4 linked regions of the Diceros bicornis minor genome follow. The protein of the gene in region 2 interacts with the protein of the main gene of each other region in a biochemical or structural test. Links are inferred from orthologs where the notes say so. Each region holds a gene or a part of one and is shown on either strand. Other genes may lie near its edges. The genes, in order: FOXO3, AKT1, MTOR and AKT1S1.

Region 1 (7,061 bases), on a different chromosome or scaffold from region 2:
AATCATTACATCATAGGCCTTTCCACACCTCTCTCCCTACCATGTGTCCAGTACCTAGAGAGGCTGAAAAGGAGCAGTGGAGAGCCTCTCTTCAGGTTCACTTACAGATAGAAGCCATTTCGGCCCAGCCCTGCCACCAAACCTCTCTCCCACAGGCCTAGGTGAAGCGGCAGGCCCAGTCCTCCACCCCGCCTCGTGCAGCTCCCGAGTGCAGGCCTCACCGGGAGCAGCAGGTGCGGCCAGTCCGCGTGGAGGTGGCAGGGCTGGCCCGTTCCAGGCCCCAGAACAGCTCAGAGGCTACTAGGGGGCAGGTTTACTAAAGAGACATCTGTGAAAAATAAAAGTGTCAACACGAGGAAGGAAAGACAGCCGGCCAGGAAAAGGTTGGCAACCACTGCTTTCTCAAACGGGATCCATGTGCCTATGGGAGTTAACACCCACAAGCCTGAAACTTAGACCCAAAGGTTCTCATCCAGCTGGTGACAATACACCATGCTTCTGCGACCGACTGGAAACCACAAATCCAACCCCTCCTGCGAGCACCAAGTCCCAAACACTCCCCCACGTCCCCTCGCTCCACCCGCAGCGCCCTCACCGCACCCCACTACGGTGAACTCACCCCCACTACTCCAAAGTTGGTCGCGGACCTACCTTCTCCGTGCTGTCCCGAGAATCCAGCAAACGCACTCCTGTCCGTCTGTCCTTCCCTCGCCGGTGTCCCCTGCCCCCTCTCCTCACCTGGCCATGCCCGAGGCTTCCCCGAGAGCCTCCTTTCCGCCCCACCCCTCCTCGGCCGTCCCCAGGTTCCCCTCCTCCGGGGGTCGCAGAGAACCCCCAAAGCCTCCCCGCCGAGGCTCTCCTTGCCAACCCCTCTCCCCGGCGCCCGCAGGCGCGCTCCGAGGCATCGAAGGCGCGTCTCGAACTGCGCAGGAGGCCCAGCGGGTCCGGCCGCCCGCCCGAGGTGGGTACGCACCTTCCAGCCGGCGGAGCTGTTGCTGTCGCCCTTATCCTTGAAGTAGGGCACGCAACGCACCATCCACTCGTAGATCTGGGACAGAGTGAGCCGTTTGTCCGGGGAGCTCTCGATGGCGCGAGTGATCAGGTCGGCGTAGGAGAGGTTCCCCCAAGCGTTCCGCCGCGACGAGCATTTCCTCGGCTGCCCGGAGCCCCCAGCCGCCCCCGGCTGCGGGGGTGGCACTGGCTGCTGAGGCTGCAGCGGCGTCTGCGTCCCCCCGCTCAGCGCGCCCGCCGCCGGGGCTGGCCCGGCCCCGAGGTCCTGCCCTCCGGGAGCCAGCAGCCGGGCCGAGTCCTCAAGGAGCAGCCCGGAGCTCAGCGAGCCGCTCCCGCCGCTGCCGATCGCCATGGCCGAGCCGGCCCTCCCGCCGCCGTCCTCGTCGTCTTCATCGTCCTCCTCCTCGGGGATCATGGAGTCGGCGGCCGCCTCCCCCGAGGGCTTGGCCGGGCTCCCCTGGAGCTCCGGCCTCTGCAGGGGCCACGTACAGGAGCGCGGCCGGCTCTGGGGCTCGAACTCCGGATCCAGCTCCACTTCGAGCGGAGAGAGCGGGGCCGGGGAGGCCGGCGCCTCTGCCATCTTCGCCGCCCGCCCGCCGGCGGCTCGGGCTCTCGCGCTCTCCTCTCGCGCCGGGGAGGGGTGCGGCGGGGGAGGGACTGGGGCGCCGCGAAGACTCGGGCTCCTGGGCGCCGCTGCCGCCGCCACCGCTGGGGAAGCACAAGAGAAGAGAGAACGAGAGTTGGTTATCCCGGGCCGGAGCCCAGTCCTCGGCGAGTCCTCGCCCGCCGCTGCCGCTGCCGCCGCCCGAGCGCACCGCGCCCGCCTCCTAGGAGCAGGCAGACCTGGAGACGTGCGTCCCGCGAACCTGGCGCAGCAGACACCGCCCCCTGGCCGGGCCGCGGGGGAGACAGGAGCGAATCGACGGGCTCGCACGGGGCAGCCCCCTCCCCCGGCCGCTGCCAGAGCCGCAGGTCCCTCCTGGGTTAGGTGGCTGGGCGGGGAGGCAGGGGGAGGGGCGGGGAGGGGGAGGGGAGGGGGAGGGGCGCGGGCCGCGCCTTTAAATCGGGCAGCGGCCGGAGCTGGCGCAGCGGTGCCGCGGTCGGAGTCCGAGCCCGGGCGGGCGTGCGTTTGTTTATGTTTCGCTCGGGGCCGCTCAAGTGCTTCCCGCGGCGCCGCCGCCAAAGTCTGTGGCGTCTTCAGCTCTCCTCCCCGTCCCCAGCCCTGCCGCCTCCGCGCCTCCCCTGCCACCTCCCCTCCCAGTGGAGGGGCCCGAGCGCGGGGACGGCGCGGGCAGCTCCCTTCTCCCCTCTTGGCCCGCGGGCCGGGAGGGCGAACGTGGATCCGCGCGCAAATGGGCCCTTGTCACTTCCAGAAAAGAGAAAGACGGGAAGGGGGATAGGCAGCTCGGCTGGTGTTCGCAAAGGGTCGAGCCGAGCAGGAACAGCCACTTTGGGGTTTTGTGTGGTTTATTTTCTCGCGCACGTTGTGCCCTCCACCCGCTTCCCTGTAAAGATCGGGGGGAGGGGGCAAGTCAAACATAAATCTTCCAACAGGTCGGGAAGCGCCAAGTCTTCCCGGGCCGCCAGAAAACCCGGACCAGCACGTTCATCACCTCCTTGCTCCCGCTGCTGCCATCTTGACAGTTTTTTCTCCCTTCACTCAAGTCCTTTAAAAACACTAGCGGGGAGAAGGGGGGGCGCGCACACCGAGTCACGGGGAGGGAAAAGGGAAGCGCCTGGCCCAGCTCGAAAGCAGATCCGGAGTCACCGGGAAGGCGGACGCCCCGCTGCACAGCTCCGGCGCCTACCTCGATTCCTTCCCTTCAGGGACGAGGGGGGAGGACGCACAATCCCGCGCGGGCCCGGGGCACGGTGAGGAAGGGGCGCGCAACCTCGGTGAAGGAGAGGTGCTCCGGCCGCCGCTGCAGCCCGCCGGAGGAACCGCCTGTCAGCCTGCGCGCCGCCGCTTTCCACATTCCTCCTCCTCCCTTCCACCAGCAGGGCGGCCGCGGCAGCAGCACAAAGTTATAGACACACGCAGGGTGCCTCAACCTAGGCTGACGGCGGGCGGGTCCCCGCCCAGGGGGAGGGCTGGGCGGCGGGCCCGGGTGTGCTGTGTGTGTGTGCGTGTGTGAGTGCGCTCGCGCGCGCGCGCGCCTGCGCGACCCGGCTCCGCGGGGCTGCGGGCGTGGGTGTCAGGGCGCGCGCCACGGGCCGGGACTCGGCGGGCTCCCGCAGCCGTCCCCGCCGGGCTCCTCCTCTCTCCCCAGAGCCTCAACGACAACAAAGCGCGGCGCTGGCCCAGGAGAAGAGGGAGGGGGAGCGCAGAGCCCCAAACGCTCCACGAGCGCAGTCGCGTGGCTTCTCTGACTCCCGGCAGGGCGCCTGGCACCGGCGGTCCCCTGCACGCGCGTCTGCCCGCCCGGAGCCGCCCTGGTGTCCGGTTCTAATGGGGAACCGGACACCAGGTAACACCCGAGATAAGATGCTGACCGAAGATGGCAAGGGTTACCTCAGCTTGGAAATACTGACAAGCGACGATGTTGGTGGCTACAGGACTTCCATAAACTGATGCGCTTCGATTCGATCAGGCACGAAAAGGTTTGCACTGTCTCTTACCTAAGACGCTCGACCGCAATCGTGTTTCAATTTTCATGAATTTCGTGGCAAACGAGGGGAGAAGTGTAACTCAGGAGGGAAAAGCAAATTATTCCCCATTCCTAAACGCATGAGCAGATTTTGGACAACTGTGAATGGGAAGTAATTTGATTCTAATTTGTAAATGACGGCAAAACGGCTAATTGTGCATTTTTTACTTTAAAAAAGAGATACTCCTTTAGGTTTAGCAAAACATCTTCACAAGTCCTTATCTTACGATCAGTGCCCAGATCGTTCATTTGTGCACTAAGAATGCACCACATGCGACACACACACCAAAAGTCTATCCACTTTGATTCATGAATATCTTTTTTTCTCTTAAATCCTTCCAAGTCATTGGAGATATCTTACAGTCTAGAGCGGCTCCTCAACAACCCGACACACAAAAAGGTCCAACCCAGCGTACGCAGGAGTCCGCCCACCCGGCCTACTCCAGGCTCCGGGCTTTGCGAAGGGCCCGTCACTCAAGTGACGCGCGGCCCCGCCCCTGCACCAAGCTAGTTCGACGCGTACAAATAGATGATGTCATTGTATCCACACGCGCGTGACCCGAGAGCGCTGCGCCGCGTCGCCATTCGCTGCGCCGCTTACTCGTCAAGCCAAGTCGCACGCTGACTGGCCGCAGCCACCAGTCTCCAGGCCGCAGACGCCCCTCTCCGCCCCCGCCCCCGCCCGCACAGCAAATAATAAACAATCGAGTAAAATTCTAAGGCAGGAGGGGAGGGAGGAGTGGAGAAAAAGAGAGGGCGAACCAGAAGCCAGTCCTTGGCGCTCTGACGGAGGGAGAGTTAAAAGGAGGCGGACAGGAGAGGACCGGGGAGAGGAGGGAGGGAGCAGACCTGGGGTGACGGGTCCCGCCGCGATGAGGTGGCGTCAGGAGAGGAAAGTTGGAGAGCACTCTGCGGGGCGCGCCTGGCAGTAAGGGGGGCGTTAGGGCCCGGGAGCCGCCTGGCTCGGGGCTGGGGGGCGGTGCGCGGCCCGCCGCGGGGGAGGAGACTGAGCCTCGCCGGAGCGCCGCGGGTGGAGCCGGCAGACACGTGCAGGAGGAGGGCGGGCGCGCGCCGCACACGCTCACCCGGGGCGCGCGGCACCGCCAGGCGCGCGCGCTTGTTTACCAGCGCACGTGGGTGTTATTTTTAAATGGAATGTAGTGCTGGCAGCCGAGCTGAGTGGCGGGCGCGTGGGGCCGCCCGCGCCTTCTGGGAGAAGCCGCGGGGCCCGCTCCACGGCCTCTTCTGGCGCTGCTCTCCGGCCAGCGAGGCTGTCCCCGCGGCGGGCTTCCAGCGCAGCCGGCCCCTCGACCCGGGGAGCCTGACGGCGAGTTTCTCGCGCTGCGCAAGCCTCAACGGAAACGACGTGTTCCCGCCTCGGGACGCTGCCTTCTTTAACCCCGGGCTCGGTTCCCTCATTCACATTCCGGGAACAAAGCTACCTGCTTCTCTGGGTCCTGGAGGCCGCGCCAGGCCGGGCCCCGCGGCCACCGGTTCCGGAGCAGATTTCACACGCTCACTGGCACACAACAACCTAGCCGCGAGGGAGACTCGCACCACCTTGCGTGCTTTGTGCCCTCGTTCGCTTGCTCCGAATGTCCTCAGTCCATATGTGCCCATCTCTTGGGCATACAGCTCTGCCCACGTACAAATGCGCTTCTGCTGCTTCGGGGTGTCTTTGGAAGGAGGAGTCTGGGAACAGGGTTCTGGTTGCTTCCTGGGGTTGCTCCTCTGCGTGCGGCTCCTCTCCTCTGGTTGTGGGCCTGCCCCACTGAGAATCCCTGAGTTTGCATTTGGTTTATAGCCTGACAGTGTGGACAGTGCTGTCCGACCAAAACTCAGCTTCGAATGCCCATGGGGAGGCGGGGGAGCTGGAGCATATTACCCGGAGTCTGGTGTTCAGCTTTGCACGCAGAACCTGGTGGCTAGATCACCCAGGGCCTTGCACCATGATACAGTATAAAATCCAAAGAACTTTCAGCAGCTTTTTAAAAATACTTACAACACACTGTAAAAGAAATCTACCCGTTTTCTTCTCTAAATCTAAGCAATCTTTTGTCATTAAAGTGCAGACGGGCAGAAGGAGAAAGAATGTGTTTACACTGGCTGGGCTCTTGGCCATGAGATTTTCACTATAAACATGTGGGATGTCCATTTACAGAATGCATATCCCGAAGGCATACCAAAAAATGTAAAAGTTAAAGATTTAATAGATTAATTGAGCTCATTGAGACCTTCTTGGTGAGGAGTGGGGGACAGGGACGTGATCTAGCCATTTCCCTCAAAGAGCTTAGTCTTAGTTGGGGGTGTAAGACATATTAAAAAGTTCAGTATTTCAAGAGTTTAAAAACATACAAGACAAATACAAGAGGTCATACACATCGCATTGGGTAAGTTTCAAATGAGTTAAGGATCAGAACTTCAAATGGCAGTGACTATAAAAATTCAGCTTGGTAAATGTGCGTCTTACCCAAAGAATTTACACTTGTAATTTGTCCCTGTGGGCAGGCCTTTAAAAACTCAGAGATTGGATCTCAGTGATTGTTCTCTTTTAGCCTGAAACTGCTGTGACCTTTGCTTTCCCCTGAAAGCCTCCTTGGTCCTTCTCCATTTTTCCCCCTACCTTTTTTTTTCTAAACTTTTTAGTCTAGGAAAGCTGAGTAAGTTATGGTTGTTGACTGAATAGGAATGCCAGCATAACCTCTGAGGTAGAATTTTTGGTCACAGCTCTCCTCACTTCTTATCATACCCTGATTATTTCTACAAAGGATTTAAGGTGGTGATGTCCACTCCATATTGCAAATTCGGTCACTGGAGGAGCAAAAGTTAAATGTTTTTTTACCTGAATAAACTGAGTAAATTCACCATTTCACACATCTAATTATGAAGGGATTGATGGTAGATGCCAGGGCTCTGCCTCCGAGGGGGCCACCGCTCAGCACTTGTGTCCTTGCCCAGTCCTCTTTGAACCTAAGTCAGCTAGGTACGCCCTCTGACCCCAGAGCCCAAATACTAGGGCCTGAGCACGCTGCCTGGCAGCAAAGTGCTCATTTCCCTCTTGGATTGGCTTCTTGGTCCGTCTCAACAATGAAGACAGGAAACACAAATGCAGTATAAGCCCCCCAACAATTGTGTGACCCAGCTGAAAAGATGGAGCCCCAATATTCAGATCTATAGCTGCTCCCCGTCTTTTGTCTGACACCCTCATTAGTCCCTTCCTCTGCCTCCCCTCTTCTCAGCAAATTATGCACATGGAAAACATATTGGACACTGTGTACCAAAGAGCTTCAGTGTTAGCTTGTCTCTCTGGGTGTCATTCCAGACAGGTTTCATCACCACTCTCCCCAGGAGTCTCTGGAGCTCCCATCCCCTCTCTTCCTCTTTGCCTCCTCTGAGTGTGAC
Region 2 (7,760 bases):
CTGACCTTGGAGTCCAGAACAGGGGACTGTCACCCTCTCAGCGGACCCTAGCTCAGCGTTTGCTGGGGGCCAGGCACGCAGAGCTGTGTCCTAGTGTCTCAGGGACACAGCGGGGTGGGGGGATAAACGCTGTGATAGAAGGGTCCTCAAGCGCCTCCAGAGCCCAGAGCAGGTGGAAAAGTGTTCAGGGAGGGGGAGACACCGTGGAGGGGCAGGGTTGACAAGCTGGGGACAGGGTATTTCAGGTGCAAGAGCACCATGAAGGGGTGAGGGGACACCTAGGTCTGCAGGGAGAAGGACATAGCCCAAGAGAAATGGAAAGCAACGATTTTGGAGAAGTTGGGGCCCCCAAGGGGGGTGTATTGCTGGCTGCGAGTCTTGCCCAGGGGCAGGAGGCAAGGCGCTGCCCTTGACGGAGCAGGACTGAGGCACTCTGGACCGCTGCTCAGCTATCTTTCCAACAGTCCCGTTAGTTAGATGCTCTTGTTATCACACCTGCTTTGGTGGGCAGGTTAGGTAAGGTGCCTACCGCCACACAGCAGGCAGTAAGTAAGCTAGAATCCCAGCAGTCTCCTGAGTTCCCACCTGCATGTCAGGCAGCCCCGGAGGCAGGATGCGCTGGGGAGGGGGAGCCCCAGCCAGGAGAGGTTGGGTAGAAAGGAGGCCTTGATTAGTGGCGGGAGTGGCACTGGGGGAGGGCCTGGATTACAAAGGATGGGACACCAGCCGGCCTGGTATATGCAAGCAGAGGAAGCACGGGGAGGAGGGGGGAGCCCTCCAGCCGTGCTCCTTGATGCTCCAGAGGTGGGAGTGCTGGCTGTGAGATGGGGGGTCGCCACCCAGGAATCCTGTTCAAGCCTGGTGGGTTGGGGGCCTGAGGAGCGGCCAGAGGGCCTGGGGCCCACCACAGTCTGTGTGGGAAGGAAAGCCACATTCTTACACTAAAAAATTATGCCTTGTTTATCTGAAGTTCAAATTTGACTGTGTCCTGTATTTTTATTTCCTAAATCCGGCAACTTCAATGTGGAACTCTGGACTCACGCTGCACTGAGCCACTGAGACGGCCCTGGCTCCATTGCCCTTCACCTCGGGGACCCTTCTGAGGAGGGTCAACCCCCTCCCTCCACCCCCTCACCCAGCCCACAGCAGGAGGAGCTGACTTCCAGTCCAGTCAGAGGGAACCCAGATGGAACTGCCTGTGGCTTCTCGCCTGTGTAGAGTCCTGCCCCTGCCCCCTCCCGACCTCAGGCGTGACCCTTAGCCTCTTCGAACCTTAATATCCTCATCTGCAGAAAGGCAGATTCAGGGCAGGGCCTGGCTCACAGCAGGACCTCAGGCTCCTCCTCTGAAGGCCTTCCCTGGCTCCTCCATTCCTGTCTCTGTTCCAGCAGCACCCCAAGAGTGGTCTTTCCTGACCACCCCACCGAGGTCCCCCCAAGCCCACGTTCTCCTCTCCTCGTCCTTCTCCAGAGCACTCCCCGTGCCGTGTGACTGTGCTCTCTCTCGGCTCCCCCGATGTATTCTCGGGGCTAAGAAGCTGTCGGGGCACAAAGTGGGGTTCAGGAAAGGTCTCTTGAGTGAATGCATGGCGGTGGCTTCCGTGAGGGATGTTCCCTAGGTGCTGCCATCTGAATTCTGACTGCTCTGTGGTGCCACAATGCCCAGTGTGGCCTCCCCAGGCCCGGCCTTGAGCATGCGGAGGCAGGGAGGGGAGGCTGGCCTTGCTGGGGCTCTGGACGGACAGCTCCCCACACAGGCCGCAGGCCGGGAGGAGGCCCCCGGGGTGGGCAGAGTGCCCTGGCCTGCCCTGCCTGGCTGGTGGGACGAAGTGCTCCTTGGGGGCCAGACAGAGGCTGAAGCAAATTAGGACGCTGCCTGTAAGAGCCTGGGGTTGGGCCTGGGAGGCCGGCCCAGGTAGGGATGGGCTAGAGGAGGGACGTCACTCGGGGAGGGGAGAGTGGGAGAGAGGCCCCTGAGTCTCTCAGGTCGGAAGGTCTGAGTAGGTCCCCCTGTCCTGATACCCCCCACCCTGAGGAGGGGCTGTCTCAGGCAGCCCGGAGATGGTACTCAGGAGCCGGCCGCCCCTTGGCCCTTGGATCCTCTCTCCGGCCCTGTGCAGTCCCAGTCACAGGGATGACAGGAGGTTGTCGCAGTGGTGCGGGCAGAGGCTTCCCAGACGCAGCTGGCCAGGCGGCCATCTGGCCTGGGAGCTGCCCCCAGGCCCCGCCCTGCAGCTGCTGCTGAGACTAGGCAGCCCGGGCACCGGCCCACCAGTCCTGCTAGAAGGCTGGCAGCTGCAGAAGGTGACAGGCCCGGAGGCTCTTGTGCTCTGGGAGGGGCAGGCGGCCACCCTCCTCAGGGGCAGTGTAGCAATTTTTGTTGGAAACATCTGGCCAAGGGGCATCTCAGCGGCCCCAGCAGCGGCCAGCATGGGCTGGCAAGCTTGGTCCTCTCCTTGCCATTCTGTCTGGGGGTTGGGAAGGGGGTGTTCTTGAGGAGAGGGGCTCTGCTTTCCCTGCCGGAGGCCAGAGGCGGAGGGGGCTAGCCCTGCCTTCAGGGATACCCCAGTCACAGGGCAGGGGCATGCCAAGGTGCAGACAGGACTGGGCACTGCATGGAATGGGGTGTGGGGCACACAGCAGGTCACGCACAGTGGGGGCTGGCCCAGAGCGCCGTGCAGAACAGGCAGGGAGACCTCCTGGAGACGGGCCTGGAGGTTTGGGACCACTGCGATGCAGCCTCCCAGCCAAGATGCGGTTCCTCAAATGGCCAGCAGGCCCCAGAGCACCTGGGGAGCTGCCACATGTTCCACAAGACGGCGCCCTCCCGGCCCCTCAGTGGCCACTGGCTGCCACCCTGCCGGGTTCTCCTCTGGTCCTCCACCTCCTCCATAGCACTGTCAGTTCAGGATGGGGGGTGGGCACGGAAACCCTTCCTGGGAGAGCAGTGGGTAGGTGGGATGGTCCCAGGGGGCCCCAGGGGGAAGGTGTGCAGGGTGAGCGATGGACAGACATTGGACATCAGGGGCTGACCCTCAGGTCAGGCATCTGGCCCCAGCGGCACGGTCGGGGCCTCTCACTGGGCCCCCTGGAGGCACGGCCCTGCCTGGAGGTACACAGTCAGAGCTGGGACAGCTGCGCTGCAGTGGGAGGGTGGGGGGCAGCAGTGCCAAGGGGAGAGGCCGGGAACTGGGAGTCCCCTCCTCAAGGAGCCAGTGTCCCCTGAGCAGGAGAGAGTGTCCTTCTCTGAGGAGCGTCCTTCTTCAGGTCAGCCCCAAGAGGCAAGGATGGAGCCCCAGTGTTGGCTGTAGATGCCGTCCTGGACACTCAGCTGGGCTGCACCTGCCTCTGACCCAGATGAAGTGTCCACGCCCCCTCAGGTTGAACTCTGACCCTGGATGAAGAACAAAAATGCCCCCCCCAACACATACCAACCTCAGGAAGGTAACTTACAGGAGTCTTCCTTTCACAAAAGGATAACTATCAACTGGGAGGCCTCAGGGTTGGGGGGAGGGGCAGCTGTTGGAGAAACTAGTGGCTCTAGCCAAGGGCCAGGGCCCAGGGAGGGGTCACGGGTGGGAAGTTGTCTGCAGATCCTGGGGATCTGTAGGAGGAGGGGGTGAAGTCTCTCTGCCTCCCTGGCCCTTAGATGCCTGCCAGTGGACTGTGGGTGCCCAGGGCCCATTTGCACAGCAGGGAGGGTCCTGGCGGCCTCAGCTGGCACAGCCCTTCTCCTGAGTCTGCTCCCCCTCAGCTCCCCCTGCTGTGTGTCTGTGCCCAGCCCCGGTGGGCACCTCAGGCCAGGTGTGCTGCATGAAGCCGGGTGCCACATGCATGCCCCTCCACTGGTCCCTGCAGCCCTCACTGTCACCACGTGAAGTCCCCATCCACTTTTATAGGGCCATATGTCACATCTTTCTGGGGAGGGGAGCTCCTGGAAGACTCCCCGGAGGGATTGAGGGCCCAGCCCAGGGCCAGGCCCATGGCAGGCCTTCAGCACAGAGATGGACGACCGAGTCCCGTAGCCTGCCCTCTCCTGTCCACGGTCCAGCCAGCCTTCCAGGCCCACCTCAGACCTGACTTCGCCCCCCAGCCTCTGGCATGCCCTCAGGGACCAGCACTCTGCGCTCACCTGGCAGGGCCCTTGGGTTGGTCTTTTAGGAGAATCTTGGCTGCTCCCTCCCCCCCACCAGCATGTGGCTACCCACTTGGAGCACCTTCTGAAAGTCAAACTAACCTGCCCCCTCCTATCCCCCCAGTGGAAGCAGAAGCCCAGGATTCGGCCCAGATCGGCCCTTTTAATAGGGTCGTGGCAGAACTGGGCCGAGAAGCGCAGGCTCCCTGGACAAACCGGGCAACTGAGGCCAGAGGGGACGTGGTCTGGGCCCGGCCCCAGCGGCGGGCAGTGGCCCGGCTCCGTTAGCGGGCCCGGCCCCGGCCCCGGCCCCGAGAGCCGCCCGCCGCGCGCTCCCGGCGCCGCGCCCTCGCCCCGGCCCGCGGTGGGGGCGCCCGGGGCGGCGGAGGCGGATGTGGGCGGGCGGCCGGGCGGGGCGGGCGCGGGGCGGGGAGAGGGCGGGCCGGCGGCGGCGGCACCGAGCGCGGCGGGCGGGCGGGCGGCCGGCCCAGCGCAGCCAGCGCAGCCAGCGCAGCCGGAGGACGCGAGCCGGCGGCCGCGCGCAGCACCGGCCCCGAGGCGCGCGAGGCCCGCCGAGCAGCCCGCCGCCGCCGCCTCCAGCCCGGCCCCGCCCGCCCGGCCCGGCCCGGCCCGCGGGGATGCGGAGCGGCGGGCGCCGGAGGCCGCGGCCCGGCTAGGCCCGCGCTCGCGCCCGGACGCGGCGCCCGGTGAGTCCCCGCCCGCCGCCGCCGCCGCCGGGGCCCGGATTTCCTCCCCGCGCCCGGCCGCTTTGTTCCCGGCCGGCGGGGCCGGGGCGCGGGCCGCGCGCAGCCGGAATGAGGAGCGGGAGCAGGAAGTGGCCGAGCGCGGCCTGGGCGGGGAGGGCGCGGGCCGGGCCGGCGCCGGGGGTGCGGGCCGCCGGCCCCGGCTCCCTCATGACCTTGGGGAAGCGGCTCCGCCGGGCGAGGCCTGGGCTGGGGCGGAGGGGCGCGGCCCGGCGCCGGGGGCCGCGAGCTGGGGCGCCCCTGCTGCCCGGGGCTCCCCGGGCGCCTGGCCAGCGCGGCCGCGGCGCCCAGTAGGCGCCCAGGGTCCTTAGGAAAAGGCTCGCCCCAGCCCTCCTTGAAGTTTGTGGGTGGGCCCTGGGAAGGAGACCTCATTTTCCCATGGCCAGAAAGTTGTACATGGTGGCGAGGTGCCCAGGCCAGCCCACAAAGGACTGCTCACCCTCCTGGGCCCCCAAACTGCTTCCTGACCTGGGAGGGCCGTGGAGGTGCTGCCTAGCCATCCCGGAGCTGGGGCCCGGAGGGCGGCGGGGCCTGCCCCCCGGAGTGGGGGGTCCAGGGCAGGTTTGCCGGCGGGCCGGACTGTTCCCAATTACTGCCATGGTGGACAGAGTGGGGGGCGTGGGCTGTGCTCTGTGGCCAGAGGGCCCCCTACATTCCCTCCTGCCGCCCCGCCTTGCTCCAGGCCCCTCCTTGCTGTTCTTGAGCCCTTCATCCAAGTGAAGGGCGGGTTGTTTTGATGGGGGCTTGATTCCCTGCCCCCGAGCTGACCATACAGTTCACAAGTCAGTGTTTTTGGGGGGGGGGGACCCTTTCACAGCACAGATTGTTTTTTTCACAAGTTGTGGCTTAAATAATAATAGCAGTCGTACATGTTGATGGTAAAGGCACTCACAGTACAGAAGTAGCGGGAAACAGAGGTCCCCTCCATCCCGCCGGCCCTGTGCCCAGAGGTGGCCCAGGCACTGGGCTGGTGTGTACATTTCTGTGCAGACGTACACCACCCTATGTGTGTGCACAGATATATTTTTACACACGGGGCTCTCAACAGCTGTCTGACTCGGTCAGCAGCAGGCCCTGCTCAGACCGGGGTGGGGGTGGGGGGATGTCCAGAGGTCTTTGAGTCCAGCCCCCTGCCCCCAGGCCACGCCCACTCAAGTATCACCAGAGCCCCCTGTCCCCGGGGCTCAGAGCCCTCTCCTCTGCGGTATCTTCGGGGCTCACTTGCTGCCCATCGCTGCCCCTGGGCGTGCTGAGCATGTCAGCCACTTTCTTCTTTGGGCCAAGTGTGTCTTCCCTGTCCTGGCACCAGACGCAAGGCAGTGGGGTCTTCTGCCCTTCTAAAGTCAGCCTAAGAGTGCAAAGCGGCCCTCTGGGTGCCCAGCCCCTGCCTCAGGAGGCCAGTAAGGAGGGCTTCAGGAGGGTGTCTAGGCGGCTGTAGAAAGACCCAGGTTGGGATCCATTCTAGAGGTCCTCAGGGGTCTCTGCCTGGCCTGGATGTCCCAGAGAGGAGTCTCTTTGGGCCTGCCCTTAGGAGTGCCCGTCTGGAGGGGTAGCAGAGGACTGCTCATGGGAAGAAGGCTTTTTCCCAGGATGCCCAGAATGGGTAATGTGGGAACTGGGTTTTGAGGGATGCCTAGGAGTTCGTACAGCAGGGGAGCAATGGGGAGGGCTGTGCAGGATCAATGGCCAAAGTGTCTGCTCAGGTGAGGGCTGGCTGGTGGGCCACTGCAGGGTGGGTGCCAGTACCACTGCGCTGCTGCAGTGCCACCCCCCATTTTTGGCCTCGTGAATGCTGTAATTATGGGTCTGTAACCACCCTGGACTGGGTGCTCCTTACAGACAGGACCCGTCTGAGCCTCTCTTTGTCCCCCGCGCCCAGCCCTGAGCCTGGCAAAACCAGAGATGCCCGGTACGTGTTGGCCGATGAATGAACCAGATTCAGACCGGCAGGGGCGCTGTGGTTTAGGAGGGGCCTGGGGTTTCTTAGGGGAGGGGTTTCGTGTCCCCCTGGAGGGCTCTGGCTCTCATCTGCGCCAGCTGCCTGCGCTGCTGGCCCTGCCTTCTTTGTGTTTGAATTTCTCTCCTTTCCCAGTCTGGGGCAGGGAGGAGGAGCCAGGGCCCTGCCCCAGGAACCCCAGCCCGTGGGTGGGAGTACCACAGACAGAGAAAACAGGGGCACCCTCTCCAGGGACTTGGGGATGCTGAGGGGCGTGGGCCGAAGCAGTCAGAGGGGCTGCCTGGAGGAGGCGGCTGCTGCTGTGCTGGCAGGTTAGGGAGGCTGGGATCTGCTGGGAGGGCCTCTTGGGGATGGGAGTGTATAAAGTCCAGGGGAGGTGGGAATGGGGGAGGTGGGGGGGGGCAGTGAGCTCTGAGGGCCTGGGGGTCCAGGAGGGGTGATGGCAGGGGCCTTGATGCCCAGGTCGAGGAGAGGCCCTGGCCCAGGGAGCAGTTTGAGTAACGGGAACTTCATGTCAAGTGCCATGGCGGGAAGAAGGCGATGGGACGGCTGTGCTCTGAAGGCTAAGAGGTGGGCAGGCCAAGGGGGAAGGGAGACCCAGGCTGAGACCCCGGGTACGATGGGCCTCCTGGGCTGCCTGCAGGGCCAGAGGAGCGGCCTCCAGCCGGACACAGCCTCACACACTTCCTTTGCTTCTTCCAGAGGCACGGGCTGGGCTCGGGGAGACCCTGCTGAGAGAGGAGCGGGAGTGAGACCTGGGCCGCCCGGCCAGCCGGAGCCCGGGCACCATGAACGACGTGGCCATCGTGAAGGAGGGCTGGCTGCACAAACGAGGTGAGTGGCCGCGGGGCTGGGCCTGGGGTGGGGGCCCCGGAGCCGGCCAGCATGCCACCCTCAGGTGGCGG
Region 3 (7,774 bases), on a different chromosome or scaffold from region 2:
CGCGCCTGCAGCTGCTCCTAGACTTGCCGGAAACAGCTTAACTCAGCATCACAAGAACGACCACGAATGCTTATCGCTTTCCGACCTACCAAGCGCTTTCACTCACCGAAATAGGACTCATTCATTTTTTATTCAACAAGCATTTATTGAGAGCCTACTGTATGCAACAAGCATTTATTGAGCACTCAGTATGGTACGCAGCAGTGAACAAAATGGACAAAAATCAGGGAGCGCATTGAGGGCCATGAGAAAGGTATAATTATCCCCCCCTTTTTAAATGAGAAACTTGTAATGTCTAAGAAATTATTAGTTCTGGTAATTCCCGCTTTTTATTGTGCAATTACCATATGCCATATACTGCCCTGCCTGCCCTTTTTTTTTTTTTTTTTCCATATTCTGGTTTATTTACTTATTCATGCAAATAACCGCCCTCCTCCCCACCCCACCAGGTGGCCAGCTCTGTGTCTCCACTGCCCACCTTCTGGGAGCTTATGGTCCATACCTGTAGCTTGTTCTGGCTGGAGAGAGCCAACTGTTACATTTTTAGGAATTTTGTGAACTGGTCATTAGGCACAGCCATTACTAAAAATTAAATTACACAAACTCACAATTAGATAAAACTATATTAAAAACAAAGGTAACAGATACTCGAACCTCATTACTTCCTAATTATTTCACTACATTTTAGCATTTATGCTCTTCAGGTTCTTTGCGTCTGTTGTATCTGCATTGTGGAAATACTACATAATAATGTGCTTCTGCTCATCTCGTCCCAGCTTTTCATTCAGTGACATCCGCTGGTAGCTTGAAACCTGCCACGATGGGAGTCTTTATACTGAGCAAATCAGCCAATCCTTGATAATTGTTTTGTTGATCCTCTAGACTTAAGCAAGGGACAAGGAAAAGTTAATAATGCAGGTCGAAGGTAAAAGTGTGTTAATTCTGTAGCTGTTACTTTGTGACTAGCAACAAGACTTTGAGGAAATATTCTTCCAGTATTGGAAAATTATTATCCAGTTCAGCAAAGAAGCCACTCATGTCGTTGAGAAACTAGTGAAGTTCCAACATCTCTTGATTGTCACACTTTCCTCTTTCTTACTCATTAACATAAAAGAAAATATCAACCAACATTCATGGGAGACTACACTTATTGGTCAATTGCAGCCATAAGGAGGCTACACAATATCAAAGAAAGCATACCGTTAGAATCAACCTGCCATATGGAATTTACAATAAAGAGTAGTGTGTATTTTATTTGTAAGTTGTGTGCTACACATCCTTTACATGTGTTATAACAACATATATAACACATAAAGTTATAATACACATATAACATACATGTACACGGATGGACTACATAATTTTCGTGCCCGATGCAAAATAAAAATGCAGAGCCCCTGGTTCAAAAATCGTTAAGAATTTCAAGACACAACATCACGACCTCATAGGTCACACAGCCATGAAAACAGCCCTGTATGTACATACATGCCCCCCTCCTCTACCAGCTAGCTGGTTGTTAAATATTTACAGCTCCACCACCCAGCACATACTTGCGACGCTGGCCAAACCTGAGAGTCCTACGCTGCCAAATCAGAGAAAAGGAAGCAGCAGGTGTATTAAAATCCTGGCTCCATCACTTACCAACTCAACGACCTAATCCCTCTGTGTGTCAGTTTACTTGTGTGTAAAGTGGGAACAATACAGCCTGCCTCACAGAAATGTTCAGGAATAACAGTAACAGCATTTATTGACTGTTCACATGTGTCATACAGTGTTTTAGTTGCTTTACATGTATTGGTGTTTAACCCCACAACACTGCCTACTGAGATAGGTACATTGTAACCCTTCTGGTTTTATAAAGAAATAGTTACTTGGAAATTAAGTACTTGCTCATATAGTTAGTAAGTGTTGGAGCTGAGTTTCAGATTCAGTTAGTTTGACTCCAGTCTCCTTTTATATTGCTCTATAATGTCCACTAAAATGCCTGATACTTTGTAAGTGTTCAATAAATATTAGTTATTATTTTAACATAATGGATAAGAAAGCTCTTTGTAAACTGAAAAGAGATCTACAGATGCACTGATTACTGTTGCTATAAAAGCATCTTTGATTAATTAGAAAGCAGGTAATAAAATAAATAAGTTCTGGGGATATAATGTACAGCATGGTGAGTATAGTTAATAATACTGTATTGCATATTTTAAAATTGCAAAGAGAGTAGATCTTAAAAGTTCTCATCATAAGAAAAAAAAATTTTTGTAACTGTGTATGATGACCAATGTTAACTAGACTTATTGTTGTGATCATTTTGCAGTATATACAAATATTGAATCATTATATTGTACACCTGAAACTAATATAATCTATGTCAATTATACCTTAATAAAAAAAAGATAAGAAAACAGGGCCTTACATCTTAAGGTGGCAGAAATCTCATATATTGCTAGTGGGAGTGAAAATTGGTACCTCCTCTATAAAGATCAATTTGACAATATCCATCAAGCATGGGTACACATGGATTTACTCTCTGAATCTGTAATTCCACTTCCGCATATTTATCTCGGTACAACTGCCAGGGAATAAAATTATATATGTCCAAAAGCATTAATAGGCGGCATAATTAGTAATAGCAAAAATTTGGAAACAACACAAGTGTCCATCAAAAGAGGACTGGAAAGGGGCCGGCCGGTAGCACAGTGGTTAAGTTCATGTGCTCTGCTTTGGTGGCCCGGGGTTTGCAGGTTTGGATCCCAGGTGTGGACTTACCCACTGCTTATCAAGCCACGCTGTGGAGGCATTCCATATATACAGTAGAGAAAGATGGGGGACGTTAGCCTAGGGCCAGTCTTCCTCAACAAAAAGAGGAGGATTGGCAATGGATGTTAGCTCAGGGCTAATCTTCCTCACAAAAAAAAAAAAAAAAGACTGGAAAAATAAATAATGGTATATCCACGTGATAGAATACTATGCAACCAAAACAACAACAAAAGAACAAGGAAGCTTTTTATATACTAAGATGGAAAGATCTCCAAGACCCCCTAAAATTTTAAAAAGTGCAGAACAATGTATATAGTGTAACAAAAAGGGAAAATAAGAATATGTATTTAGGGGCCGGCCAGTGGCATAGTGGTTAAGTTCATGTGCTCTGCTTCAGAGGCCCGGGGTTCACAGGTTCAGATCCTGGGTGTGGACCCACGTACTGCTTGTCAAGCCATGCCATGGCAGTGTCCCATATAAAGCAGAGGAAGATGGGCATGGATGTTAGCCCAGGGCTAGGCTTCCTCAGCAAAAAGAGGAGGATTGGCAATGGATGTTAACTCAGGGCTAATCTTCCTCACATACACACAAAAGAATATATATATTTATATTTGATTGTATTGCATAAAGAAACTTTAGGGATACTTAGGAAATAAGAAAATAAGTAGTGAAGAGGCAGGGGTGGAGCCTGACTTTTCATGATAAATATAATTTTTATTTATGTTAAGATCTGCACAGTGAATATATAATATTCAAAAATGTTTAATGATTAAAAATAGAAATGTTGAACACAAGTGAAAAATGTGGAATGCAGAGGAACAATTAGTTCACAGAATAAGCAATACAATGAAAAGATTCTAAACCTAAAGCAGTAAATCATATTTAAAAAAAAATCTTTCAAAGCATTTTGTTAGCCACAGAATATTAGCAAATTTCTTTCAAATGGCAGTTTAGGACTTCTAGAAACTTACATTTCTTAAACAAACACTTCTTTTTATTACATAAGTAATTGATGGTAATGTACAAAGAAAAAAATATGCCTTCCCCAAGTCCCATTACATCTTAGTTGTATATTTTCCCTCTGTAAACACAGAACACATAAAAATTATGTTTTTTAAAAGGGTTATATTTAACATACTGTTTTATAACATATTTTTTTAAACTTTGAACCATTTTCCTTCTTAGCAAATATTGATCTGCGTTATCATTATTAGTGGCTACACGTTTTCCTTAATATGAATGCATATTTTATCAGACTCCAATTGTGAGATATTTAGGAATTTTCAATGTTTATTATAATAAACAGAATGTATTTAAAAACTGAGATGTCAAATTCCATTTTTAAAACTGATTTTTTGAAGGGATGTTTTAACAACCATGCTGCTTGAAAATTATTTACGAGTGGCTCATTTAGTTCAAACTTGGCTATGGTTTCTCGCGAATGATCTTGTGAGCTAGATAATTTTGGAAAAGTGGGAAAATCTAATTAAAAGCGCTTTCAAATGCATATTACACTTAACAAAAGAGAAATCACGGGTACATAAGTTGAGCTAGTCCGAAAACTTTAGGTCTTTTGCTCCAGCAGCTACCGGGCACCGGCTTCGTTCACACTCTGGTCTCAGAATTAAACCGGGCGGGGTCACGCACCTTCGCCCACCCCTCGCGGTCCCATCTCACCGCACCACACAGCGGACTCCGCGCGGCTACAGCCCCAGTGCCGAGGGGAATTATAGTAGCGACGCACCGGATGTGTGCGTGGAAGCCCCCGAAGTCAACTCACGACCGATTGGTCCTCCCGAGCGAACCTAAACCTCCTTTCTCCTGCCACTGGTCGCGTGGTTTGTCTATTTGAACAGTCCCCGCCCCCTGGGGAAGCCGGGTCCCGAAGCCCCACTGCTCCTTCATTACTATTGGTCTGTGTTCCAGTCCATCTTCTCTTACGCCTGTCGATTGGTCCTTAGCAATAGGAGCCCGCCCTCACTCCCGCCCCGGCTTAGAGGACAGCGGGCCAGGCGGGTGGTGGGGCCGGGGGCCTGAAGTGGCGGTACCGGCGCTGGCGGCGGCAGCTGAGGCCTTGGCCGAAGCCGCGCGGTGAGTCTGGGGCCTGGCACCGACCCCTCCACGGCGGCGGAATGTCCTGACCCTCGGCCGGCGTGGTCCGTGGGGGGGCCCCGGGAAGTCGCCTGTCTGGGACGTGGGGTCCCCTCAGTACCGGCCCCACGGACTTGGGCGCCGCCTGAGCTCTTGACCCCCGCCCCGCGAGGCCACGCCCACCTCCTCCCGGACCCCGAGGAGAGCCCCGCACCCTGCAGCCTGCCGTGGTCTCTGGCGCCGCGTAGACCGGCCCATCGGCTCCGGACCTGCCGGGACGCCTTGGGGTCTCCGTGCCCGTCAGCCACCCCTTGTTCTGAGCCGCCTACAGATGTCCTCAGAGAGGACCAGCGTCAGTGTCGGCCCCGCGCAGTGCGCCCCGGAGCCTCTCGAGGACCCAGTCCCGGGGTTGAGCTGGTTCCGCTGGGTTCGTCCTCGCCGTCTGCCCGCCCCCATCCCTCATCTCAGCCGCCCAGTGAGCCCTCGCCAAGACCCCTGGGGTGTTGGGCTCCCAGTATTTTCATCGAATTCTGTCTGGAGCAGATGGCCGGTGGGCCTCAGACCTTGTAAAGAGGTACTGGGTCTTTCCTGAGAATGGAAATTCCTCACCAGCCTCCCCCCATCACGGACACCCCACCCTCGCTCCATAGTTGTGTTCTCATCAGGGATCCTTGGGTTTCCTCTTCCCGAAGAATGACATTTCCTTCTGCAGTTTTTGTCTTGGCACCAGAGTATTTAAAAGCTTTTCAAAACCAGTTCTTCCCTGTTTTTTCCTCTGCATCTCACAAATTATTCCAAAAATAAGAATTTTGAAAAATTGGTTTTCTAGTATAATCTGAACATTCTTGGGTCAGGTGTGCGTTTTACTTCCATAGCAGTCTCGGCTGAGCCCTGTTATGTCCACTTTATTGTGGTTGCCTGATTATTTATGTTTCCCTCTAGATCCTGAGCTCATTGAGGGAAGGTACATAACTGAGGAATGAATGCGTGATCTCAGGAACTGATCAGTCTGTTTTAGCTCACATTCCCAGTACTAGTATTCTGTAGAACTGCACTGTCCAGTACAGGAACCACCAGTCACATGTGGCTTAGCGCACTTGAAATGTGACTAGTCCAAACCGAGATTGCCGTAACTGTAAAACGCACACGAGATTTTGGAGACTCAGAACAAAAAAAGAATGGAAAATATATCAATGATTCTTTTATACTGATGACACGTTGAATATTCTATATATGAGATTAAATAAAATGTATTAATTACACCTGTTTTTTTACCTTTTTTGATATGGCTACTAGAAAGTTTAAAATTACATTTGTGACTCGTATTATATTTCTGTTGGACAGTGCTGCTACAGAATAATAACGTTTCCCTCTTTAAGTTGAACTCCTTGAGGAAAGCGGCAGTCTTAGACAGATTTTATTCTCTCTCGACCTCCCTACCTCTAGTACCTGGCGCTGTGCCACGTACGTAGTAGTAATAATGATAATAATAGCTAACAATTACGGTTACACTGTGGCACTGTTTTAAGCACTTTTCAACATGTATTAACTCGTTTAATCCTCACAGCAACTCGATGAGTTGGGTGCTATTATCCTCCTATTGCAGTTGAAGAAACTGAGATGTTTTAAGTATCTTCTTCAAGGTATATAACTTTGAACTGGATTCAGACTCAGTCCGGCTCCACAGCCCACAGTTTGACCCTCTCTGCTACCCTGCCTCTTTTACACAGCAGTCATTGTTAAATGAATTGAGGCTTTCTACACGTTCCTCAGTGAGGTCTCCCAACCTGTTTTAGGATCCCCTACCTGATGGGCTGGGTGGAAATTTGTGTTCAGGAACTGGGGCCATAAATAAATTCATCACCATAGTTTGTTATCCAGAATATTTAAAGGAAGCTTCTCTCCATAGAACCTCAGGGCAAGATGCTGGGAACCGGGCCTGCCGCCGCCACCACAGCTGCCACCACCTCTAGCAACGTGAGCGTTCTGCAGCAGTTCGCCAGTGGCCTGAGGAGCCGGAATGAGGAGACCAGGGCCAAAGCTGCCAAGGAGCTCCAGCACTATGTCACCATGGAGCTTCGAGAGGTCGGGGCTTCTGTCATTTGGGCCAATCGTCATGGAGTGTTTGGGCTAAATGTACCATCACTGGTTTAGATTCCTTTTGACAGCTAAGTAAGGATTCGGAAAATGTAGAGGTTCTGTTTTAGAAAGGCACCCGATTTCTCATGTCCAAAGAATGTGCAGTTTCCTTTGCAGTGGTTACACATTTCCGTGGCCTTTCTTGTGTTGTGACATTTTAGGAGTCAGCATAGAGTCAGCTGTTTTTTTAAATTTTTTTCTTTTTCCCATCACATTCTAGACCCTCAGTTCTTTCTGCCTGATAACAGTGGTTGGGATGGGTTTGAAGAGGTGATAGCTTAGGGCTTTCTAAATAGAGACCAGACTTGAAGTCAGGGACAATGTCTTGTTCATCCTTGTACCCCTGGTACTAGGTAGAACCTAGGACAGGACGTGGCCTGCCATGGAGTAAATACTCAATATGTATTTGTTAAACAGGTGAGTTGTGAGTTCACTTGCTCTACAGTTTAAAAGTATGGAGTTGGGCAGTAGCTTTGTCGTCTTTGTTTTGAAATGTACCTGCTGGCCACTTCTCAGGTCTGAATCTTTGGAAATCCCCCTGCCACCCCCCACCACCACCATAAGGAAGACATTAGAAATTGTTCTGAGTATATCTTCCTTTGCAGATGAGTCAAGAGGAGTCAACTCGCTTCTATGATCAGCTGAACCATCACATTTTTGAACTGGTTTCCAGCTCAGATGCCAATGAGAGGAAAGGTGGCATCTTGGCCATAGGTAAGGACAGAGTCTCTGATGACAGTAACAACTAGGAATAAAGTGCTCACCTTTGTGTCCACTGCGCCCCATG
Region 4 (7,934 bases), on a different chromosome or scaffold from region 2:
TGCTGTCTGGGCCCATGTCCATCTCCCCAGCCAGTGGGGGAGCCCCCCGAGGGCGGCCCTGTCGATTTGTCTCTGAGCTACCGCCCCTGCCCAGCACCTGGCAGGCCTGACAGCACCTGGAGCAGAAAATGGTGTGTCAGCCGCTCCCTGCGCCTGAACATGGCCCGAGAAGCTTTTGTCCTTCCTAGGAGACCCTGTCCCCACAGTTCCTCTGGACGTCTTCCCTGATCACCCAGGACGGACCAGATGCCTTCCCTAGACCCACAATGCCCTGGGCTACCTCCACTCCAGCTCACGTCACTGAGTTTGTCTGCCTCCTCCATCAAACTGTGAGCAAGCCGAGGTCAGGGATCTGTGGCCCCAGGACAGCTCTGCCCTAGGCAGACAATCTCCTTATGAGGTAAGACGAGCAGGGGCAAGAGGGCTGGCTTACTGCCCTGACCGTCCCAAACCTGCTGTGTAACCCTGGACCACTCACTGGCCCTCTCTGTGCCTCACTTTCTTCCCCCTGTAAACCAGAGTAGTTGAGCCAGGGCTGCCGGGCAGCTGAGGAGCCTCCTTGGGGTGGGCAGTAGGCACCCCATCACTGGAGGGATTCAAGCATGGTGTGATCCAGCCCCCGGGGTCGTAGTAGCTTGATTTCAATGCACAGGCCCTCTGTGACTCATGATCACAGACGCCAGTGTTTGCTGAGCACCTACTCCCTGCAGGGACTCAGCACCTGTCACCTCACCTCCTACCTGCCCCACTTAGGTGGGAGCTGTCACTCACGAGCGTGACCCCGAGGCTCACGGGGCACAAAGCCCTTGCTGGAAGCCACACAGAGGGAGAGCACACCAGCACCGTTCCTGACGGACCCGCAGCAAGTTCATCCCGCACTTCCCACGAGCCAGGTGGGGACCTGAGTGTGTCATCAACACCCTCATCCCACCCTCTCACCAAGCCTGTGAGGGAGGAGCTGCTATCAGCCCACTTGACAGTTGCAAACTGAGGCCCAGGGAGATTCAGTATCTTGACCAGGTCATGGAGCTGGAGAGCAGGAGCTGGGACTGGGATCTGGATCCAGAGCCTGTTCTGAATCCCAAATGCCATCCTGCCTATCTCAGGAGGAAAGATTTATGATCTCCTAGTCCCGATGGGGAAAGTGAGGCCCAGAGAGCTTAAGGCACTGGCTGGAAGGCACACAGTGACAAAAGCGGGGCTGAAGTTGCTATCTGCCTGACTCCAAACCCCACAGCACTCGGGGGTGCTCAGGGTCTCACAGCCACTCCTTGGGTCGTCCCCACCTGATGAAGGAGGAAACTGAGGCTCAGGGCAGGGAAACGACTGGTCCAAGGTCACACAGCCCAGCGGTGCCAGGCCTGGGGCTCTCACTTCCTTGAGACGCTAGGATTACACGCCTCTTTGTCCTGATCTTAGAGGAGCCACAGGGCTGGGAAGAGTGAAACGAGAGGGTCCCCACCTCAAAGACGAGGCATGGGCCAAAGGAGGAGGGGGCTCAGGCAGACCTGTCTGTCAAGCCTGGGGGGCTCTGTGGAGTTGGTTACCCACCCAGAGAGAGCCAAGACCTGGGGAGTTTCCCGCCCCTTCAGCTTCTGGAGGAAGTCCTGTATCCTCCAAGAAACTGAGAGGTGGAAGACGCCCCCACCCTCAAATGGAGGAATCTAAGATTAGGGAAAGGAGGTGAGATCTGTCTCCACAGGAGGGGAGCGGAGAGGTAAGGCGATTGGCCTCTTAGGATGCGGTGAGGAGGTGAAGGGAAGAAACTGACCCCAGGAAGAGGTGAGGAAAGAGGGTAAGTCCCCCAAGGAGTGAGGGATGCTAGTGAAGCCCCTCTCCAATCACCTGTCAAACTGGATGTGCCCCCTGCTCGAGGGTGGGAGGAACTCGAGGATGCACCCCGTGGCCAGGGACGGGGTAACTGCCTGGGGTCTTTCTCCCCCGCTCAGAGACCTCCCCACCTCGTCCGGGGGTCCGGGGAAGACCCACTTCTCCAGGATGAAAACAGGAAATCCCGCCCCGGTGGGCACCGGGGCCGGAAGTCCCGCCCTCGAACGGGTGAGGGGCACCCCGAAGCCCCCCGAGCAACCCCCCGACCCTGTGGACGTGGTCCACGGCCAAGATGAGGACCCTGGTGGGTCTGGAAACTGGAGGATAAGGCCACCTAGGCTTTGCCTCAGGTCAGATACGACGATTCCAGCGGGCGACCCCTGTCCAGCGCTCGGCGTAGGGTCGCTGGGCGACCTCTGCCCTCTGACCTACGCAGGCCATTCCCCTCCCACGAGCGGCTCGCCCTCCCAGCGCCCCTCTCCTCCGGACTGCCAAATCCTCCCCACACCGCGCTTCACAACGCCGCCTCCACTCACGTGCCCGTAGCCAGCATGGCCGGCCCGGCGCCGTCGCCGCCCTCAAAAGACATGGCGGCGTCTTGCGTCACTTCCGCATGGTTGGCCCTCCTCCATGCCGCACGCTCCACCTCCCACATCCGGGCCGCCCGAGACCAAGATGGCGGCCGCAGGGGCTTCACCGAATCACAGTGGCGGAATGGTGACAGCACGGTACCCATAAGAAAAATGGTTGGAAAAAAGGCTTCGGCTTGCTCGAAAACAAGCCTAGACCATTTCGATTTGCCCCTAAGAAGTATGGCCGTCTGCACATGCACACTCAGGACCACGGTTCACTAAAGCAAGCGACCTTACGTCCCTCACCCGTAAGCAACCTCTTCCACAGAAGTGGAGGAGAGCAGTGCCCGTTAATGACACGGCAGCCAGCCTGCATCATTTGCCCATAATGTGTATGGGCTCTCCCTCCGGCCTATCCTCCTTCAGCACCGAGGCTAGCAGAGATCCAAAATGGCAGCCTTTCTTGCTTCGGTTTGCCCAGCTTTAATATGGCGGTGCAGGCCGCTTTCTCTCGAGGGTGACTCAGGAATTCATCTGGGACCGCTTCGCTCCTGGGGATACTGACGGCTTCATCCCGTTCACCCGAGACCCTCAGCACCCCTTGTGACGTACAGTTCCTCTCACCTTCTTTTCCTTTATCCGTTTCTCCTTTCCAGGACTCCCCCCCCACCAACTCCGTCGCGCCCCGCAGAGAGATGGGACTGCCCCGCATTAACATGTCCGCAGCGGACCGGCCTTAGCCCTGCCCTTGAGCAAAATGGCATCTCTTTGGCTTCGATGCCAGTATACAATATGGAGAAAGAGTAGGTGTTTCGGAGGGAGCTTGAGCGAGGGGGTGGAGCTCTTGGATTCGGCTTGTTTACTTCGTGAGGGCGATAGCACTGCGCCTGCGCACTCTTGCGGGCCAGCTCCACCTTGAGCGTCTGTGCCACGTGACTTAAACCCTCGTGGTTCAAGTTCGACCACCCAATTCTGAAAGATGGTTACACCCTCTCCTGTTCCAGGACAGACATGGGCGCTACCACTGTCCGGGCTTGAGGGGAGCCTTCTACCCGGATGTGACCGCACGTTGACCCGGAAAAGGAGGGCGCCGGGGCAGTGGGGCCTGGGCCGCAGCTATGGAGGGAGCAGGTTACAGGGTAAGCACTGAGGACGCATTCTTTTCTTCTGTCTATGCGAAGCGCCCCCCTCCGGTGGTCTGCTTCTCCCTCAGGCCGTGCCGGGGCTCTGGGAGCCCGACAGCTCCTTAGCAAACATACCATTCCCTTATAAACGCGCTGTCACCCTCCCCTCCACTGCCCTAGGGAGACCCGCATCTTTTAGCCCCGCCCTCTGGGCTGCTGAGATGCTCTCCTGGGCCCAGCCCCTTTCGGAATGCACTGCCCACTTCTCCCCGTCGCTCCTTTTCCCCTCACCACCCTCCTCTTCACCCCCTAGTCCCCGCTGCCAGGCTAGTGTCGGCCTCACCCCGTCCAGCCCCATCCCCTCGGTGGGGGTCGCCTGGGCCCCGCCCCCTGGGGGATAGCTCCTCCCCCGGCCCGCTCCCATTGGCTGCCTCCTGGGCCCCGCCCCTCACTGGCGCTCGCCCCCAGGTGGTGTTTGAGAAGGGAGGCGTGTACCTGCACACCAGTGCCAAGAAGCACCAGGACCCGGACTCGCTCATCGCCGGCGTCATCCGTGTCGTGGAGAAGGTGGGCCGGGAGGGAGCAGGGCTCGGGCACGCCCAGAGCGGGATGGAGGCGGCCTCTGTAGGAGTATGGTCTGGGGGTCGGCGATGGGACCTCAGGAAGGCTGGGGGTGGGGACTAGAGGGAGAGGCGGGGCGTCGGAAGCCTGAGAGTCCAGGAGGAGGAAGGAGTTTGGAAATACGGTTTGGGGAGTTTGGAGCGGAGCTCCTCTAACCCGTTCCTCCTTACCTCAGGACAACGACGTCCTCCTGCACTGGGCCCCTGTAGAGGAGGCTGGAGATTCCACCCAAATCTTCTTCTCCAAGAAGGTGGGCTTCTCTCCCTTCCCCCCTCTCCACTTGCTTTTTTCTAGGTCCAGGCAGCGGAAGGCATTGGAAGGACTTGGGGACAATCCCAGACCTACCATTGGGGCGCGTGTGACCCTGGTTGGGATCTAGGTTCTTTCTGCTTCTCAGTTGGTTTCTTTCTCTGTGTGAAATGGGGTGAAGACGCCCATTCGTAGAAAGCAAGCAGACACCATGAGATTCGTGGCCACGGGGACAGCTGCTCCCTCGCCCCCTTTGCTTCTTGGGAGAGCCCTGCCAGGTTGCAAGAAGACAACTCAGCCTGTGGATTCAGGTTCCACAGGCCGTCAGCCCATAAGAACTTGAAGGGGCAGTCCTGCCATCGGGTCTGGAGAGGGAACAGGACCTGACCGAGGCTGCTCACCTCCTTTGCCAGCAGCCTTCCTCTCCCCTTCTCATTACCAGATGTCTCCTGAGGCTTCCTGAACTGGACCCAGGGATGAGTCCAACTCAGACCCTGCCTAAGCCCTCACTCCCATTCTCTTTTTGAGAAACTGTGGCACAACGAGAGAAAGCCCTTTTTCCGAGGTCAAAAAAGCTAGGAGGTGTTGGAACTTGGGTTTGAACCCAGACACTCTGCTTCCAGAGCCGCGCCTCTTCGCGGGGGAGCACACATTTGGGCTGGGACTCTAGAGATTAGAAGGGGGCACGAGGAAGTGTGTCGCAGGGCACAGGGGGAAGGGGATTCTCTGTAGAGGGGTTTGCTGGAAAGGTGTTTGGGCCTGAATTGCCGGGCTGAGAAGCTTGGACCCTGTCGTGGGGGCACTGGGAAACATGAGAGGAGAAGGGTGTGGGTGTGGAGTGCCCCCTCTGGTGGGCCACGTGGGAGATGGAACAACGGACCGAATGGAGGGAGATTGGAGGCCGGCAGGTTGGGGAGGATGGCCGGTGTGAGAGACCATGGAGCCTCAGCTGGGGCTGTGGGGTTTCAAATGACCTGGGGGGGCACAGATGGAGATTCCAGAGGCCCCCCACCCCCACCCCCGCCCCGAGGGAGCTGGGGAAGAAGCGACCAGGGTTCTGCATTTTTCACCGACTTCGCAGGCAATCTGAGTGGCTTTCTGGAGAATACTGCCATCCTCCTTGGCACTCTTGTTTTCGAATAACAGAAACGCACTGAGATGGGCTTCAGCAGAAAGGGCACCTATGCACTCAGGATACATTCAGCTCCAAGGATCACAAAACCAGACCAATGACAGGTTAGGAAAACAAGTTTGCTTGTCTTATCTCACAAGATTCTGAGAGGTATGGGACTCCTGGCCTTGGTTGGTGACCTCAGGGCCTGGGTCACTGGGACCCTGCTTTTCTTGTCCCCGTAGCCTTTAAATGATTGCTTCATCTCCAGCCATTGCATCTGCCTTTTAAGGCAGAAGAAGGGGGCAAGCAGGGTGCCATTCACATCTGTCCTTTTGATCAGGAAGACAAGAGATTTCCCAGAAACTCTCTACCTCAGTCAGGAGTTACATCTGCTGTGTGTAATAGAAGTAGGAGTAACAGCGGCCTATGCAAATAGAAGGTCATTTCTCTCCTATTAAAAAGCGCAAAAGTGAGAAGTACGAGTTCACATGTCATCAAGAACCCGGTGTCCTTCCATCTTTGCTCTGCTTTCCTCAGCATGTGGCATCCATCCTCCAGTCTCCCTCATGGCCCAGAAGGGCTGCTGGAGCGCCAGCCTTTTTGGCTGTTTTTGCTCACTCTACAAGTGTGTTGCAGGTTGGCCAAAGAGCTCCGCTCATTACGATTACTCAAGGAAGCATGTTGCTAGAGCAGCCACCATCTTAAAAGTCGACATTCTTTGTGGCAGAGGAAAAGAGTTCTAGAAGTCTTGCCCTAATGATTAAAGAGTCCATCCTGGAAGTGATAGATACATCCCAGCTCCTTGGCCAGAACTAGTTGCACGGCTCCACCACCCAGTAGGGTTCACCGAGCTGTGATCTTGCTGTGTGCTGGAGAGGAGAAAAGCTGCAAATATTTGATAAACATCACTATTAACTATCACTAAATTGTGTAAACATCAGCTAAATCATTGAATTCTTCATGTCACAAAACACGAAGGGTAGAGGTAGCTTTGCCAGGGTTGGTTCAGCAGCCTTGTGGACAGGTGTTCTTGCCACTCCTTGGCCCTCCCTTCATGGCCCTAGTTGGCTGCCACAGCTCCAAACACCATGTTCTCCCTTGACAGCACCCAAAGGCTAGCCTGAACAGGATGTTCCCTCCTGTGGGTGCTTTTTTATCAGGAATTTCCCTTCCTCAGACACCCCACAGATGTCCTGTCAGCCCCCACTGGCTGGAGTTGGGTCCCCAGGCTGCTCAGAACTGCAGGGAAGGCTGGGAAAGCGAATACCAGGAGATGTCTGCTTCTGCTGTGGTAGGGGCTCTCAGCTTGGAAGCAGCAGCACAAATGGCTGTTGGGTAGACGCCCCCCTCTGGCTCCTTCCGGCTTCATAGCTCTAAGTCTGCAGGGTTTCATTGCAGGAGTCACAAACTCGGCAGTTACTTTAAGCAGTAAGGGATTCAGGACAAAGACGCGGAGGCTCAGAGAATTCTGACAAAGGCTGGAGGGACAGGGCCGACGCTGCAGGACTGACCTGCCAGGGGGGCTGCCACCACTGCGGAAAGGCGGGCGGTGGGAGAGGGGACTGTCATTGGAGCTGTTGAGTTCAAGAACACTGCCATCAAAGCTGCTACTCGGCCCCCTCAAGCTGGTGACTGGGCACTGGAAGGCTGCGCTGGCCCCACCACAAACCCAGTGGCCTCTCTGTGTGTGAGAGAGAAAGAGAGATGAGTCTCCTTGCTTGTCAGCCAAACCTGGCCAGAGCGGCAGGAAGTTGCCCTTATCTGATTTCCACTTTCCAGATCTGAGTGCATCTGATTGGTAGATTCTGTCTTGTGTGTGGCACTCTAGCTGCAAGGGAGCCTGGGAAATGTAGTTTTTAGCTTTCTAGCCTTTGCCATACAGGAGGGCACACTGGCCTGGGAGTGGACTCACAGTCGCCACAGTGCTCACACACTTTGTCCCCTCCGTGTCCTCCTGCGTGGCCCGTGGCTTTTTCTGCACTCTGACCCTCAGCACGGCCCTCCCCTGCACGGTTCCCCTGAATCTGCCCAGCAGACCCCTGAGCTCAGGTCAGAGCAGCCACCACCAGCCCCATGGTGGTCACTTACGTGATTTTCACAACCACCTCTGGGGCAGCGACTTTTTTTGTTGTTGAGATGGAATTCACTTACCATAAAACTCAATTTTATGGTAACATTTAAAATTTCCCTCAATAGTTCAGTGGTTTTCAGTATTCACAGGATTTTGCAACCATCACCACCATCTAATTCCAGAACATTTCATCATCCCGAAAGAAACGCTGTACGCGTAGCAGTCGCCCCCCATTACCCCTCCTCTGGCTCCTGGCAACCAGTAACCCACTGTCTGTCTCTATAGATTTGCTTCTTCTGGACGTTTCGTATAAATGGAATCCTACAATACGTGATTCTGTGTGACTGGCTTCT

The links.
Region 1: of the proteins of AKT1 (region 2) and FOXO3, one has a biochemical effect on the other in vitro, tested with the Homo sapiens proteins (2 studies listed by BioGRID and IntAct). The link is inferred for Diceros bicornis minor from reciprocal best matches to the Homo sapiens genes AKT1 and FOXO3.
Region 3: of the proteins of AKT1 (region 2) and MTOR, one has a biochemical effect on the other in vitro, tested with the Homo sapiens proteins (19 studies listed by BioGRID and IntAct, with this or other methods). The link is inferred for Diceros bicornis minor from reciprocal best matches to the Homo sapiens genes AKT1 and MTOR.
Region 4: of the proteins of AKT1 (region 2) and AKT1S1, one has a biochemical effect on the other in vitro, tested with the Homo sapiens proteins (2 studies listed by BioGRID). The link is inferred for Diceros bicornis minor from reciprocal best matches to the Homo sapiens genes AKT1 and AKT1S1.

The regions. Positions count from the first base shown.
Region 1 is NC_080762.1:26,451,976-26,459,036, forward strand, and holds the start of FOXO3 (forkhead box protein O3), read right to left. Parts: upstream 3,006-7,061; 5' UTR 2,820-3,005; intron 1,953-2,819; exon of another isoform or gene 1,720-1,952; 5' UTR 1,592-1,719; coding exon 974-1,591; intron 1-973. UniProt on the Homo sapiens protein: Transcriptional activator that recognizes and binds to the DNA sequence 5'-[AG]TAAA[TC]A-3' and regulates different processes, such as apoptosis and autophagy.
Region 2 is NC_080763.1:49,324,948-49,332,707, reverse strand, and holds the start of AKT1 (RAC-alpha serine/threonine-protein kinase), read left to right. Parts: upstream 1-4,750; 5' UTR 4,751-4,841; intron 4,842-7,557; 5' UTR 7,558-7,643; coding exon 7,644-7,689; intron 7,690-7,760. UniProt on the Homo sapiens protein: AKT1 is one of 3 closely related serine/threonine-protein kinases (AKT1, AKT2 and AKT3) called the AKT kinase, and which regulate many processes including metabolism, proliferation, cell survival, growth and angiogenesis.
Region 3 is NC_080752.1:30,490,937-30,498,710, reverse strand, and holds the start of MTOR (serine/threonine-protein kinase mTOR), read left to right. Parts: upstream 1-4,765; 5' UTR 4,766-4,848; intron 4,849-5,104; exon of another isoform or gene 5,105-5,422; intron 5,423-6,757; 5' UTR 6,758-6,771; coding exon 6,772-6,933; intron 6,934-7,592; coding exon 7,593-7,701; intron 7,702-7,774. UniProt on the Homo sapiens protein: Serine/threonine protein kinase which is a central regulator of cellular metabolism, growth and survival in response to hormones, growth factors, nutrients, energy and stress signals.
Region 4 is NC_080773.1:25,230,530-25,238,463, forward strand, and holds the start of AKT1S1 (proline-rich AKT1 substrate 1), read right to left. Parts: upstream 3,004-7,934; 5' UTR 2,567-3,003; coding exon 2,367-2,566; intron 2,352-2,366; exon of another isoform or gene 741-2,351; intron 1-740. Other genes in the region: TBC1D17 (TBC1 domain family member 17), read left to right, coding at 3,521-3,541, 3,995-4,093, 4,323-4,397. UniProt on the Homo sapiens protein: Negative regulator of the mechanistic target of rapamycin complex 1 (mTORC1), an evolutionarily conserved central nutrient sensor that stimulates anabolic reactions and macromolecule biosynthesis to promote cellular biomass generation and growth.